Oryzias latipes: one gene and its partners. The protein of the gene in region 1 interacts with the protein of each later gene in a biochemical or structural test. Links are inferred from orthologs where the notes say so. Each region holds a gene or a part of one and is shown in the gene's direction. Other genes may lie near its edges. The genes, in order: cyld, ikbkg and mib2.

The links.
Region 2: the proteins of cyld (region 1) and ikbkg form a complex in vitro, tested with the Homo sapiens proteins (3 studies listed by BioGRID, with this or other methods). The link is inferred for Oryzias latipes from reciprocal best matches to the Homo sapiens genes CYLD and IKBKG.
Region 3: of the proteins of cyld (region 1) and mib2, one has a biochemical effect on the other in vitro, tested with the Homo sapiens proteins (2 studies listed by BioGRID, with this or other methods). The link is inferred for Oryzias latipes from reciprocal best matches to the Homo sapiens genes CYLD and MIB2.

What each region holds. Positions count from the first base shown.
Region 1 is NC_019861.2:30,212,856-30,216,573, reverse strand, and holds part of cyld (ubiquitin carboxyl-terminal hydrolase CYLD), read left to right. Parts: intron 1-361; coding exon 362-494; intron 495-648; coding exon 649-757; intron 758-845; coding exon 846-964; intron 965-1,256; coding exon 1,257-1,473; intron 1,474-1,676; coding exon 1,677-1,861; 3' UTR 1,862-3,718. UniProt on the Homo sapiens protein: Deubiquitinase that specifically cleaves 'Lys-63'- and linear 'Met-1'-linked polyubiquitin chains and is involved in NF-kappa-B activation and TNF-alpha-induced necroptosis.
Region 2 is NC_019865.2:4,851,536-4,855,629, reverse strand, and holds the start of ikbkg (NF-kappa-B essential modulator), read left to right. Parts: upstream 1-1,294; 5' UTR 1,295-1,644; intron 1,645-2,137; 5' UTR 2,138-2,139; coding exon 2,140-2,278; intron 2,279-3,851; coding exon 3,852-4,094. Other genes in the region: transmembrane emp24 domain-containing protein 4, read right to left, coding at 1-69. UniProt on the Homo sapiens protein: Regulatory subunit of the IKK core complex which phosphorylates inhibitors of NF-kappa-B thus leading to the dissociation of the inhibitor/NF-kappa-B complex and ultimately the degradation of the inhibitor.
Region 3 is NC_019865.2:835,357-839,523, reverse strand, and holds the start of mib2 (E3 ubiquitin-protein ligase MIB2), read left to right. Parts: upstream 1-1,180; 5' UTR 1,181-1,256; coding exon 1,257-1,287; intron 1,288-3,280; coding exon 3,281-3,679; intron 3,680-4,032; coding exon 4,033-4,167. UniProt on the Homo sapiens protein: E3 ubiquitin-protein ligase that mediates ubiquitination of Delta receptors, which act as ligands of Notch proteins.

The sequences.
Region 1 (3,718 bases):
TAAGTCCGAAGAAAAGAGTTGGTCATTGGATGCGTGTTGAAAGTTAAAGCAGTTGAACTTGGACCAATCACATTGTAACTACAAATTTAATTAAGCTGAAGCAAGACCAACTAAGAAATACTTTAGATTTTTCAAAGAATCTGTAATAAAAAAAGCTTAATACTGAGGTGAGAAGAGGGAGGAGCTTCTGTGGTAAAAAGAAAAGAAAAAACCTGAAGCAGCTGAATAAAATTCTCTGATTATTAAGATTAACTGTCGTTTTCCGGTGTAATGTTTTGAAGAATTCTGATCTTGAGTCAATATTGTGGGAGTGTGGGAGACGGAGTACGATAATAACGGATTCATCTGATCACCTTTCTAGATCAGCAGGTCAGAAGGTCCAGGACTGTTACTTTTACCAGATCTTCATGGACAAGAAAGACAAGGTTGGAGTTCCAACCATCCAGCAGCTTTTAGAGTGGTCCTTCATCAACAGTGACCTAAAGTTTGCAGAGGTGCTCATCTCTTTTACACTACATATGGGTGAAACACGTGAAGAAAAGCAGTGCATCCGGATTTTGGGTTGTGCTTGCAGCTGTGTGAACATGTCAGTGCTGTTGTGGTGAGGACTTCATTAGCTGATGCTTTGTCTTTTTCCAACTCGCCAAGGCTCCCTCCTGCCTTATCATCCAGATGCCCCGCTTTGGCAAGGACTTCAAAATGTTCAACAAGATTTTTCCTTCGTTAGAGTTGGACATCACGGATCTTCTTGAAGACAGTGAGTTCCTCTTGTAGTTTAAAGCGGTCGCTGTGACGTGACATTTGACAGGAATTCTCAGCCGGTAAGGTTTGCTTTTGCCGTACAGCTCCGAGGGAATGTCGTATCTGCGGGGGCCTGGCGTTCTACGAGTGCAGAGACTGTTATGACGACGGGGACATCACCGCCGGCAAGATTAAACAGTTCTGTGAAAAGTGTAATACACAGGTAAACTCTAGAGGGCGCCCTCACCAGAGCAGAAGTGGGAATGTTCGTGTCAGTATTCCCCCATGTGGTGGTGCCAAATCCAAACAAATGGCAGTCTCAGTGATGAGGAGTTTCAGGGAAATGGCTTTTTCACTGCACTATTACACACATCTCACAGCAGTGATTGCATTAGAGTTGCGATTCCCATCTGCATGCCCCATAAAAACCCGTTGAGATGCTTTTTATTTCCCCTTACCCGACCACAGCAACGCATTCTATGTGTAATGGAGTTTATCTGATCCCGCTGGTCTAGGTTCACCTCCACCCAAAGAGGAAAGCCCATCGACATGGCAAACTGTCCGTCCCCAAGGAGCTGCAAGAAGGTACGGGGCGTCAGGGCGGCTTTCCCCGCCAGAGGATGGAGCTGTTCGCTGTGCTATGCATCGAGACCAGTCACTACGTGGCCTTCGTCAAGTACGGCACCGCAGATTCCGCCTGGCTCTTCTTCGACAGTATGGCTGACCGCGACGGTGGGTTTCAGAAAAAATTATTTGTATAGAATTTCTTCCAATTATAAGCCAGTAGAACTGGATTTGTGAGAAAACATTTGTCCATACTCAGTCGTAGTTTTGCTGTTTTTAAAATCACTTTAGGCATTTAGAGTCGGATGAAAAATAATCATTTCATACCATGTTGAATTTGCTGCTTCTAACCGTTTCCTGTGGCTTTGCAGGGGGCCAGAACGGTTTCAACATCCCCCAGGTGTCTCCGTGCCCCGAGGTGGAGACCTACCTGAAAATGTCTCCGGAAGAGCTGCACACTCTCGACCCCAAGAGTATCCAGGGCCAGGCGCGCCGCCTGCTCTGCGACGCCTACATGTGCATGTACCAGAGCCCCACCATGAGCCTGTACAAGTAAAACTCTGCTCCCTCAACCTTTTTACCTGTCATCCCCTGCCACTCAGCCTCCATCTCCCCCAGGCCAGCAGATTCAAAGAGACCAAAAAGCGAAAGATAAACTAATAGAACAGCTGCCTGCTATCGGGGGCACGGTCCACGAAAACCTCCTAACCTCACCTCGCCTCCATGCCTTCTCGTTTCTGAAGGCTGGGAAGATGGAAAGGAGCGGGAGATGCCTATTTGCACTGTGCATTAGTTGAAGTGTTGTTTCTTTTATGTAGTCCTATGTAGCTTTCTTGTGTCTGGAAGCTGAGCATCGCTGGGTGTTAGCAAAACAAAGGGGTAGGCATTATGAGGATCCACTCCCTGAACGGGGAGGCAGGAGACACAAGCAGAGGAGACTTTGCACGGCAGCGGCCTACAAAACAAAATAAAATGTGCTTGTGGGAGGACCTTGCTCACCTCATTTACCTTAAAGAAAAAAGGGAGACCTGTTATTCTTAATCACTCTTCAGGACGGGAGTTTCCGTGGTGCACATTAAGGAAGCGACATTGTGTGCAAACCTCCATGTGTTTGTGCCGTTATAGAACATTTATGTAAAATCTCTTTAAGTAGCATAGATAGCTCCAGACTGTAACACCAACAATATAGACGTCAACTAGCTGTGCAGTCAGTCGCATTTAAACCAGACCACTGGGCTCTTTGTGAACCGGTTCTTCTACGCCTTCATCACGCTGTGTAAACGTCCTTACAGTGTGTGTTTTACAGAATAGGGTGTTGGCCATTGTAAAAGTCTCACATCAGCATTTTTGTTCCCCCCCCCCCCACCTGTAAGTGTCCATCTCAGTCATGTCTGCCCCTCGGCTGTAGCCGTCATGAATGGCCTGCACGGCTCCTGCAGACCAGATAAAAAGCATGACGAGAGACTTGCACAACGGCTTCTGTAGTAAAGCTGGTTTCCGGAGCGCTCGTAGGGTCAATGAGGTGAAAAACTGCAAAAAGCGTGTTTCTTTAAAAGGTAAGAGTGTGAGGAAGTGCAGTGTCGTGCTCATTCTGTTAATGAGAAAATCTAAATGATGTTTTTTTGTTTACAAAGCCTTTTTTTTTTTCCTCCTCTGCCTGTCCTGGCAGGACTGATTCCCAACAGAAGCAAGTATCGACCCTCCGCTGCCTTTTATCACAGCGTGACAGTTTTTACAGCTTGGCGTCTGACAGCAAAACAGTTGCGTTCAAATATTATTTATTGCGCTCTCGTCATGTCACCGATTTCTCTGAAATAATAGTTCAATACGTGACAAAAACAGGGTCAGTGATACTGCTAGGCTTGGGTATATCTTGTCCTTCACTGTATATTTAAGTGAGTATTAAACTTTAGGTTGTCCTACAACAACTACTGAATGTTCATGGAGACACAATGAGCAGTTAGCAACTGAGGACAAATGAAGAGGCACAAGGGGGGGAGACCTTTGGGCATATATATTTACAAATACATATTTAAAGAAGTTTTATAAAAAAAAATGAAAATGAAATAAAAACGGAACATTTTGATTCCATTTTATTCCAGTTTGCCACAGTAAGAAATTGATCGGAAAAGCTTGTTAGCTTTCAAATTTTATTTATCTACGCAAACACTTGAGGAACCTTGACTTAGGAAGAACGGTGAAGGCGATTTGTAAACGACTGAAGGGTTGGGCTGAGCGCTCTGCTCCACAGCTGCAGAGCTTCTGACAGGAATTTGAACTTTTCTAGTGCTGCTGAAGCTCGCCGCTGACCGGAGCTCCGCTCCCTGCAACACCACAGAGAAGAAGAGACTTTGTGTCTGTTTTTGTTCTGTTGCATCTGTACAGTGTAGATGTATATGTAACGAATGGAACA
Region 2 (4,094 bases), on another chromosome or scaffold:
ATAAAGCGCAGAAATCGAAGAAATCCAAGACAGAAGGAGAAAAGCTCGGGCTGCGGGAGCGGAGAGCATTTTTGTCACCTCCCTCACTTTAGCCGCTTACAGGAAGCTGCGGCCTGCTGACGTCACGAGCGTCTGCGGAAGAAGGAAAGGGGATCTTCCGGAATTTAGATTCCCTGCGCTTTACCTGACAGGCAACTTTTGACGCGGCCTAATTTTGGTGCCCAATTTTTTTTTAAAATTCCTCCAAGATGTAAACACTTCTTTATGGCTGTCTCTTCAGTTCAAACTGCTAATGTACGGTGTGCTGCTGCAAGCTAACATGTTAAATAATACAATATTGTATAAACAGATGCAAATTCTGATTATTTTGTTTTCAACATCAAATTTAACATTCTGTATACAGCACTTTTCCTACTAGAGTAACACAAAGTGCTTTTCTGACTTCAAACAATTAAAACTGAAATTATAAAACATAGAGTGCCCTCAACCCTCCCGACTGCCCACTCCCTATCTAGATGAATCCATTTAAATCCAGTTTTCCTAAAGAACTGAATCCTGTGGGAACATGAGCTGGATCCCCACATTGTTGTGTTTGTGTTACTCCCCATGTGTCATTAGCACACGGCTGGCTTTTGGTGCAGGTCAGAGGCGGCAGCTCATGTGAGAACAGAAAAACATTAGTATTGATTTTAAAAATTGGCTATTTTTACTAATTGGGGCTTTTTCAAAGTGCATACTATCAAATTATTGTCTCAGTCATGGGTCCAAAGCGCTCCAGGTTCAAGTTTTTAATCCCGTTGTCGATTCGTGGCAGACCCTCTTCATTTTATCTGTTCTGTTGTCTGGTTCCCTTCATTATTGAAGTTTTAGGATGTTTATTGCATTGATTTATTCAAGCAGTTTCTTTCATCAAGTGTCTGTTTCTTTGTGTGTGTCAACCAGTCATCCCTGATACTTGAACAAGTGTTGCAGTTTCTGCAATTTGCTTCTTCTTTGATTTTTCTGCTTTTTCTTTTTTTTTGGTATCATCACCCCCCCCCCCTAAACCTGACTTTGACTTTGCTGAGTTTGCAATGTTTTGTGATCCCACTCAACTTTCACTGTTTTATTATTTTTTTATATTTCACTGTAATATATTTGCAAGCTTTATCAATTAAAATAAAGTAGAAAATCTTATATTTATAAAACCTAATTCAGCAGGAAAACTTTACACACTTGTTCGTGCTTAAAATAAGATACTCAAACCGTTCCCCTTTCAGATCTACAAACCGGAGAACCGACACCTGAAAGGCAAAACTCAGGGTTAAAATATTCGAGGAATTTTCCGAGCTAACAACAGTCGCCTCGGCTCGGACGAAAACCCCGTAGCGAACGTGAAGCAAAGGAAGAAAAGGCCTCCTACATCCACACAGAATGTGCCTTTAAGGTTCGATAGTCTGCCAGCGTGAAGCTGTGTTTATGACAGCCGAGGAGCGAGGCCGCTTTCCCAGCCCTTCACTGCCGCATTAGCCTAGCTAGCTAAAAATTAGCCAAAATAGTGCTTCTGGACTCGTCGAGCTTCCTTCCTGGCGCAGGTTTGAGGGGGGGACTGTAAAAACTCTGGATGTGTGTTATTCTGGACAACAAAGGGAAAAAGAAGTTAAGGTAAGAGAGATCCTGTCCTTGTTTTGTTAAAATAAACTAGTATGTATGCGTCCAAACTGTTCAGAGACAGTCACGGATGTCCAAAAACCAAAAAAACATCAGTCTAGTTTGGAATTAGGTCGTTGATTTTATTTATTTTTTCTGTTAAAATCCAACTGCGTTCTCTTTACTTTCATTTTTAAAGCTATTTTAAACCCAATGTGTCTTTTATCCCGGCCTAAGGTGTGATGACGATGACGTAATGTTTTCCTTACCTGCAGTCATGTTCATGGATGACGTCCACATGTTTTTTTTTTTTTTTTTTTAGCAGAGAGGCTGAAGCCTTTAAGGAGCAGATCTGCTTCATATTTTCAACAAAAATGAGTAAAAGAATCAAAATGAAAGTGAAAGTCTGGTCCTGGTGCACATGTCAGGGCTCAAACCTGTTTCCACGCTTACGGACTGGATGTTGACTTTGACAGGTGTGTGATGATAATCCACTGTAATCCTGCAGGAATGGTCCAGCCGCAGCCCGACGGCCCCATGCAGTGGGACATGTCAGGGGAGGACAGTGGCGGGGCCCTCAGGGTCCCACCGGAGCTTGCTGGTCATGAGGTGGTGTCCAGATTACTGTGTGACAACCAGCAGCTCAGAGGTATCGCACCCACGGCTTCGCTCACACAACTTTTAACGAGGATTCTTCATCTGACCCTGTTTACGCTTTCTTTTCTTTTCAATTTCTCATCCATGACAGGAACATATTTTTTTTTTTTTTTAAAGTTAAATACATTTTAGGTCCGGCGGGGTGGAGCTCGCTTATAATCAGAGGCTGACTTCTTAAAACATTGTGGTATATATATTTTAGTTTCTGCTTTAGTTAACTCAGCTTTTTAACTGACATATTTTATACACGTAAAAGCAGAAAATAAGAGAAGCTTAATTCAAAACAAATCTATATGTGGTTTAACCATCTTTTACACTATTTTAGTTATTTACCATATTTGCCTGTTTTGTAAACGGAAAAAAATCAGAAAAACAGAAATAATTAATTATTTAGCTCCTTCATAGTTTGGACCTCTCCCTCTGGATCGGCTGCTCTTCAGCCACTGCGGCTCTGGATGGGAACCTGCATCACTGCTTAGCTGTGGTGGAGCGGTCCCCGCCTGTGATGCTGCATTTGGCTGGTTATGCGGCTGTTCACAGAAAGGGAGGTTCCAATTATTAGCGTTTCCAACATATTGTCTTCATACTTCTTTTTTATTATTATTTTTCTTTTTATGTTAATTGTTGTTTTATGTTATTTATTTTGTTTTGTTTTAATGTAAATCACTTTGTGTTATACTTTTATATGAAAAGTGCTTTATAATTAAAGTTTGATTGATTTATAGACCCACTCTGATGAAAATTAAAAATTTTTTTTTTTTTTTTTTTTTTTATCATCTTCTCAGATGTCTTAGAAAATTTAGCTTGCAGGGTATTTCTTTATTCAAATTGTTGTGAATCAGGAGTGTGTGGTGAAATGCTGTTTGACAAAGAGCTTATTTGTGATGTAGAAAATATGATTGGCGGGCCACAAACTTCCTGCTCCGCTCCATTCTGATGCATCCACTTGCAGACAAATAGATCCATGTGCGTCTTTGTTTTCCTCGTCTGAGCTGGAATCTGGATCTAAACTGGACGGATGGATAGCTCCAATATTTCTCAGCATTTTTGTCACTCCGGTAGTGTTAGGTTGGGGGTGTGAGGGGCTGTAAGCTAGCAGGAAAACGGGTAAACAGGTGAGTGACGGGAAGTTGGGGCAGGCTTACTCCACGTCAACAGTCCCGCCCACAACTCAGAGGTCAATTTTTGATGAATCGCTGCCACTCTGCAGGAATTATGTCCTTGAAAATGGCAGTCTTTTTAGATTATGGCTAAAAGTGGCCGCATTATATCAAAAAGACCACTGAGAACGTGTTTAAAAATAGATCAAAAGATGATCGGAGTGGGTCTTTAAAGGATATTTTTGGTTAAAATGGAGTGACGGATACTTCAAGCTGCCCTGAACGCACACAGGAAGTTGGTTTCATGTCTAGCAGATGTAAATACACATTCAGATGTGGTAAATGCTGTCTCTTCTATCTGTGAATAGTATCACAGCATAAGAACAGAGTCAGGGCAGCAAAGTTTGGATAAACTTCTGTGTGAGACCGAAAGACGAAAGTCGTACTTTATGTTTGCTCCTCCAGAGGCACTGCGGAGAAGCAACCAAGCTCTCCGCCTGCGCTGTGAAGAGATGGAGGGATGGCAGCAAAGAACCAGAGACGAGCGAGAGTTTTTGAGCTGTCGCTTCCAGGAGGCCAGGGCCCTCGTGGAGAGGCTGGCGCAGGAAAACCACTCGCTGAAGGTCACGGCGAACGGACCAGGCTCCTCCCCGTCTTCCGGTCTGTCCTGCAGCTCAAGTCAGACTGAAGACCTGCAGGGACGCCCGG
Region 3 (4,167 bases), on another chromosome or scaffold:
GTGTCCTGATCCAGAAGAATTCTCACCGCCATGCAGAAATGTTGCAGCAGCATGGGGGGCACGCGGACCCCCCAGGGCTGGAGCCTGCAGGCAGAGCCCGCTGGCCTGTTTACACCAACGTCAGGACGCGGCGAGCTCGCCGTGGCGCGTCCTTCCTCTGCTGCATGGTGGTAATCCCTGCTGACACACCACAGAGGAACAAATGCTGCATCCTCTCGCTACAGGACGCCGCTCCGCTGTCAGTGTGCATCCAGCATCCCAACGCCTGTTTTCCCGGACCCCCCACCCCTGGGTTCACTGTTGGAGAGCAGCACAGAGGGGCTTCAGCTTTTCCCTCCTTCAGATCAGAAAGGTTTTTATTTTTAGCACAGCTTGAAGCTGCTGGAGAGCGTCTGAGTAGTGGAGAGGTTGGAGCTGCTTCCTCTGATTCATGTTGTGATCGGTTTCTGTGTTCATCTCCATAGCAACAGGTAAACCGCCCAATCAGACCAGCCGCTTTCCCACTCCCTGCAGCTGCAGGAAGCTGTTTGCATGCCTTTTAATATTTGTTAATTTTTCATCCTGTTTTAAAGAGACCTTTATGCGACCTCTTTAGAAAAGACTGCGGGGTCACCTCGCTCCTCGCTCAGAGGCGGCGCCTCCTCATCAAACATGCCGGTGAGCCCGTGTTGTGGTCAGGCGTGTTTGGCGTGTTTTATACTCTCTCATCTCTGGGACAGACATGGGGATCACATGACCGCGGGACTCGGCAGACTTCACTCTGAATCTTTTTCATGTTTGAGTCTTTGTGACACAAAACAACGCTAAGGATATAAATAAAGTTTTATTTGAAGAGTTTCTATAATTGAGCAACTATTGCTTTTGATGTGACGTTTGATGGAACCTTTTTGGAACCGGTACCACAGCGAAGAACTCATCACACCTTCCAGCTGTTGAGGTTCTGTTGCTAAGTTTGAGCGGTTCGATGAGAGAACATTTCCCACAATGCTCTTCTTCCTGATACGTTTGCCTGAAGCACAGTCCACTCAGAAGATTGGCTCTCTGCTTGTTTGTTTTTCCCTGGGGGGGGGGGGGGGGGGGGGGGGATAAAACCAGTTTGTTCCAAAGCTAAGCCCAAAGTTCACAGTTAACCAAATAGTGCATTTGGACTGGGGGAGGTCCACTTCCCTGCTGGGGGGCTTCAGGTTCTTTTGCCCCTGAACTGCAGAGATTAGCAGAAGTGAGCTGTGGGGACAAACAGGAAAAGAGCTGCTGGCATGTTCAAGAGTGGGCTGAGGACCATGGGGAGTGAGTACACGCATGTTCTTCTTCCCAGGAAGACCCGGCGCTGCTTTAGGGCAGAACCGGGTCTGGTTTAAGGGAGAACCGGGTCTGCTTAATGGCAGAACCAGTTCTATCCAAGAGCAGAACCGGGTCTGGTTTAGGACAGAACCGGGTCTGCTTTAAGGGAGAACCGGCACATTCCCAAATGATCCAGGAAACTTCCAGAAACCTCCACCCTCCTCTCAAGCTCCATCATCAGAGAGCAAACCATCTTTGAACGCGGTCCAGAAGAACCATGACGTTCTGTGGACCCGGGGGGGGGGGTGGGCACGCGTGCAGGAATCTGCATGTTTGATGAAGGTTTAGCAAGTCTTCATCATCCAGAGGAGTCTGCACCGACCTGCTGCAGAGATTTCATCTGTTTGGAGTAAAATAAAAGTTAAAATAACTTCAGAATATTCTGGAAAAAGTCTTCCTTAAAAAAGAGACAAGGACCAAAAAAACGGATCCAGACGGGATCCAGTTTCATCCTCTGAAGACCAAGAGCAGAAGAAGGAACGGTACCGCAGCAGCAAAAGCTGAGTCTTTTTCCTGAATCGTTGGTTTTCCACACTAAAGTTTAACAAAACTTTTGTTACGGGGACTGACTTTATTTTCTACCATTACAAGTTGGAATTGATGGGAAATTCTAGAACCCAATTAAAGCTGTTTATAATGGCCCCCCATGGTGTGTTCAGGTGAATGACCATTTACCTGACTGGTTACGGCGTAAAGCAGGGAGGTGTCCCGTCTCCTACATTATTTGCCATTTTTATTAACAGTTTGCTAGATGAAGTTAAAGGAGCAAATGTTGGTGTTGATGTGGGGGATTTAAAGAGTCTATACTGCTGTACGCTGATGACATAGTGCTTCTATCAGGAAAAGAAACAGATCTTCAGATTATGTTAAATCAGGTTTTTATGTGGTGGACTAAGATGAGAATGAAGATAAAATGTAAACAAACCCAAGTTATTTATTTCAGCAGTAAGTGTCATCTGCTAACACGTTTTTAAATTTTGTTTTGGTTTAGCAACTTTATCCTTAGTTAAAACCTATAAAATCCCTGGGACTTATTTCAGATGAACATCTTGCATGAAGGAATCAGTGTCAGAGTCAGCGGGACGAGCCTGAGGAGCTGTGGTAAATAAAACCACAAGCCACCCGTTTCTGCGGGCGGAGCGCCGTGATCCCGTCTGTTTGCCCTCTGCTGCAGACCGCCACGACCCAGCAGAGCGAGGGTCATCTCCTGCACAAAAACACAGAGCCATGTCCACTAGAGAGACCTGACCTGCATCACAGCTGCTGCTACAGCCACACCTGTTGTCTCTAATCCAACTGTGTCTAGTTAATATTTGAATGTGTCCAAATCTGCATGAATCTACCGGTAAATCTGTTTTTGCTCACAGACAGGAAATGCCTCGCTTTCCTGTTCCTCTCATGTTTCTGAAGCCTTTTCCTCGTCGGCTGGCTTTCAAACAGAACCGCGTTCAGAAATACGGCTTTTGAAAACGAGTCTCACAGAAACATCTGGGTGGAGGGCAGCACTGAGGACGTGCTGAGGACATGAGCGTGTTTCTGGGGGGTCGGGGCATGATCAGTGCAGCCGGGCAGAGCGGCCCACTCCAGCTGCTCTCCAGAAGTGTGCCGTGATGCTCGGCAGCCCTCCACCAGCAGGGAAAAAGGAATTCCACTGCGATCCCACGCCGCCAAACACTGATATTGCAGTTTGCCTGTTGGCCAGATGTGGGGGTGAATCCTGAGGGGTTCACGCGTTTGCTCATGGAAAGCGGGGCAGGGTATCAGAGGGTCCCGCCTTCTTTCTTCATCACTTTGTGGTCTTTATTCATCTTCAGCACCAGCAGCAGTGAGGGGGGGGGGTGTTCAGGGACTCATCTTCATGCTGATACACATCAGATGAACTCTGGGCTGATGATGAAACAGCTTTTTTCACCGCATGGCTCCAAACGTGTCTCCGCAGTAACCCCCGATCTGTTCCCGGAAACCACCCTGCTGCCGTCTCTGCCCGCCATTCCCTCGCCACGAACCAGCTCTGCGGCCCAGCAGCTGCGGCGGCGCAGAAGCAGCGTAGGGTACGCCGCCTCCAAGCCCCTCCCCCTGGGCTCGGCCTGCAGGAGAGGCCCCCATAGGGGCAGCATGGAGGTGGGCATGCGCGTTGTGCGTGGCCTGGACTGGAAGTGGGGTAACCAAGACGACGGGGAGGGGCACGTGGGCACGGTGGTGGAGATCGGTCGACAAGGCAGCACCACCACCCCGGATAAGACGGTGGTGGTCCAGTGGGATAGCGGCACACGGACCAATTACCGGACCGGGTACCAGGGCGCCTTTGACCTGCTGCTCTATGACAACGCTCAGATCGGTAAGCATCCTGACCGGAAGAGACGTGCTTCTGAATTCAAATGTCTTTTAAAGGGTTTGAAGTTCATTCTATGCTGCTGCACCACCCAGGCTCATGAAATGTACATCGTCAGTTTGTTCTGCAGAAAATATACTCGATGTTTCTCCTTGTGAACAGAAAGAGAAAGGGTTCAAAGGTCGTTGTGGTCTCTGAGTGATGGTGCAGCCCTGCAGATGTTTTCTGAGAACATGATGCTGCAGGCGTCAGCCGCCGTCCTTCGTGTCCTTCGGTTCCAAAAGTTACGGATTCATAAATTCAGTGGAGAAAACAGAAGGTTTACTAAACGCCTCTGCTCTTGTTTCTGCTCTTCGTAGGGGTGCGACACTCCAACATCATATGTGACAGCTGTAAGAAGCACGGCATCATGGGAATGCGATGGAAGTGCAAAGTGTGCTTCGACTACGACCTGTGCACCCAGTGTTACATGAACAACAAGCATGACCTCAGCC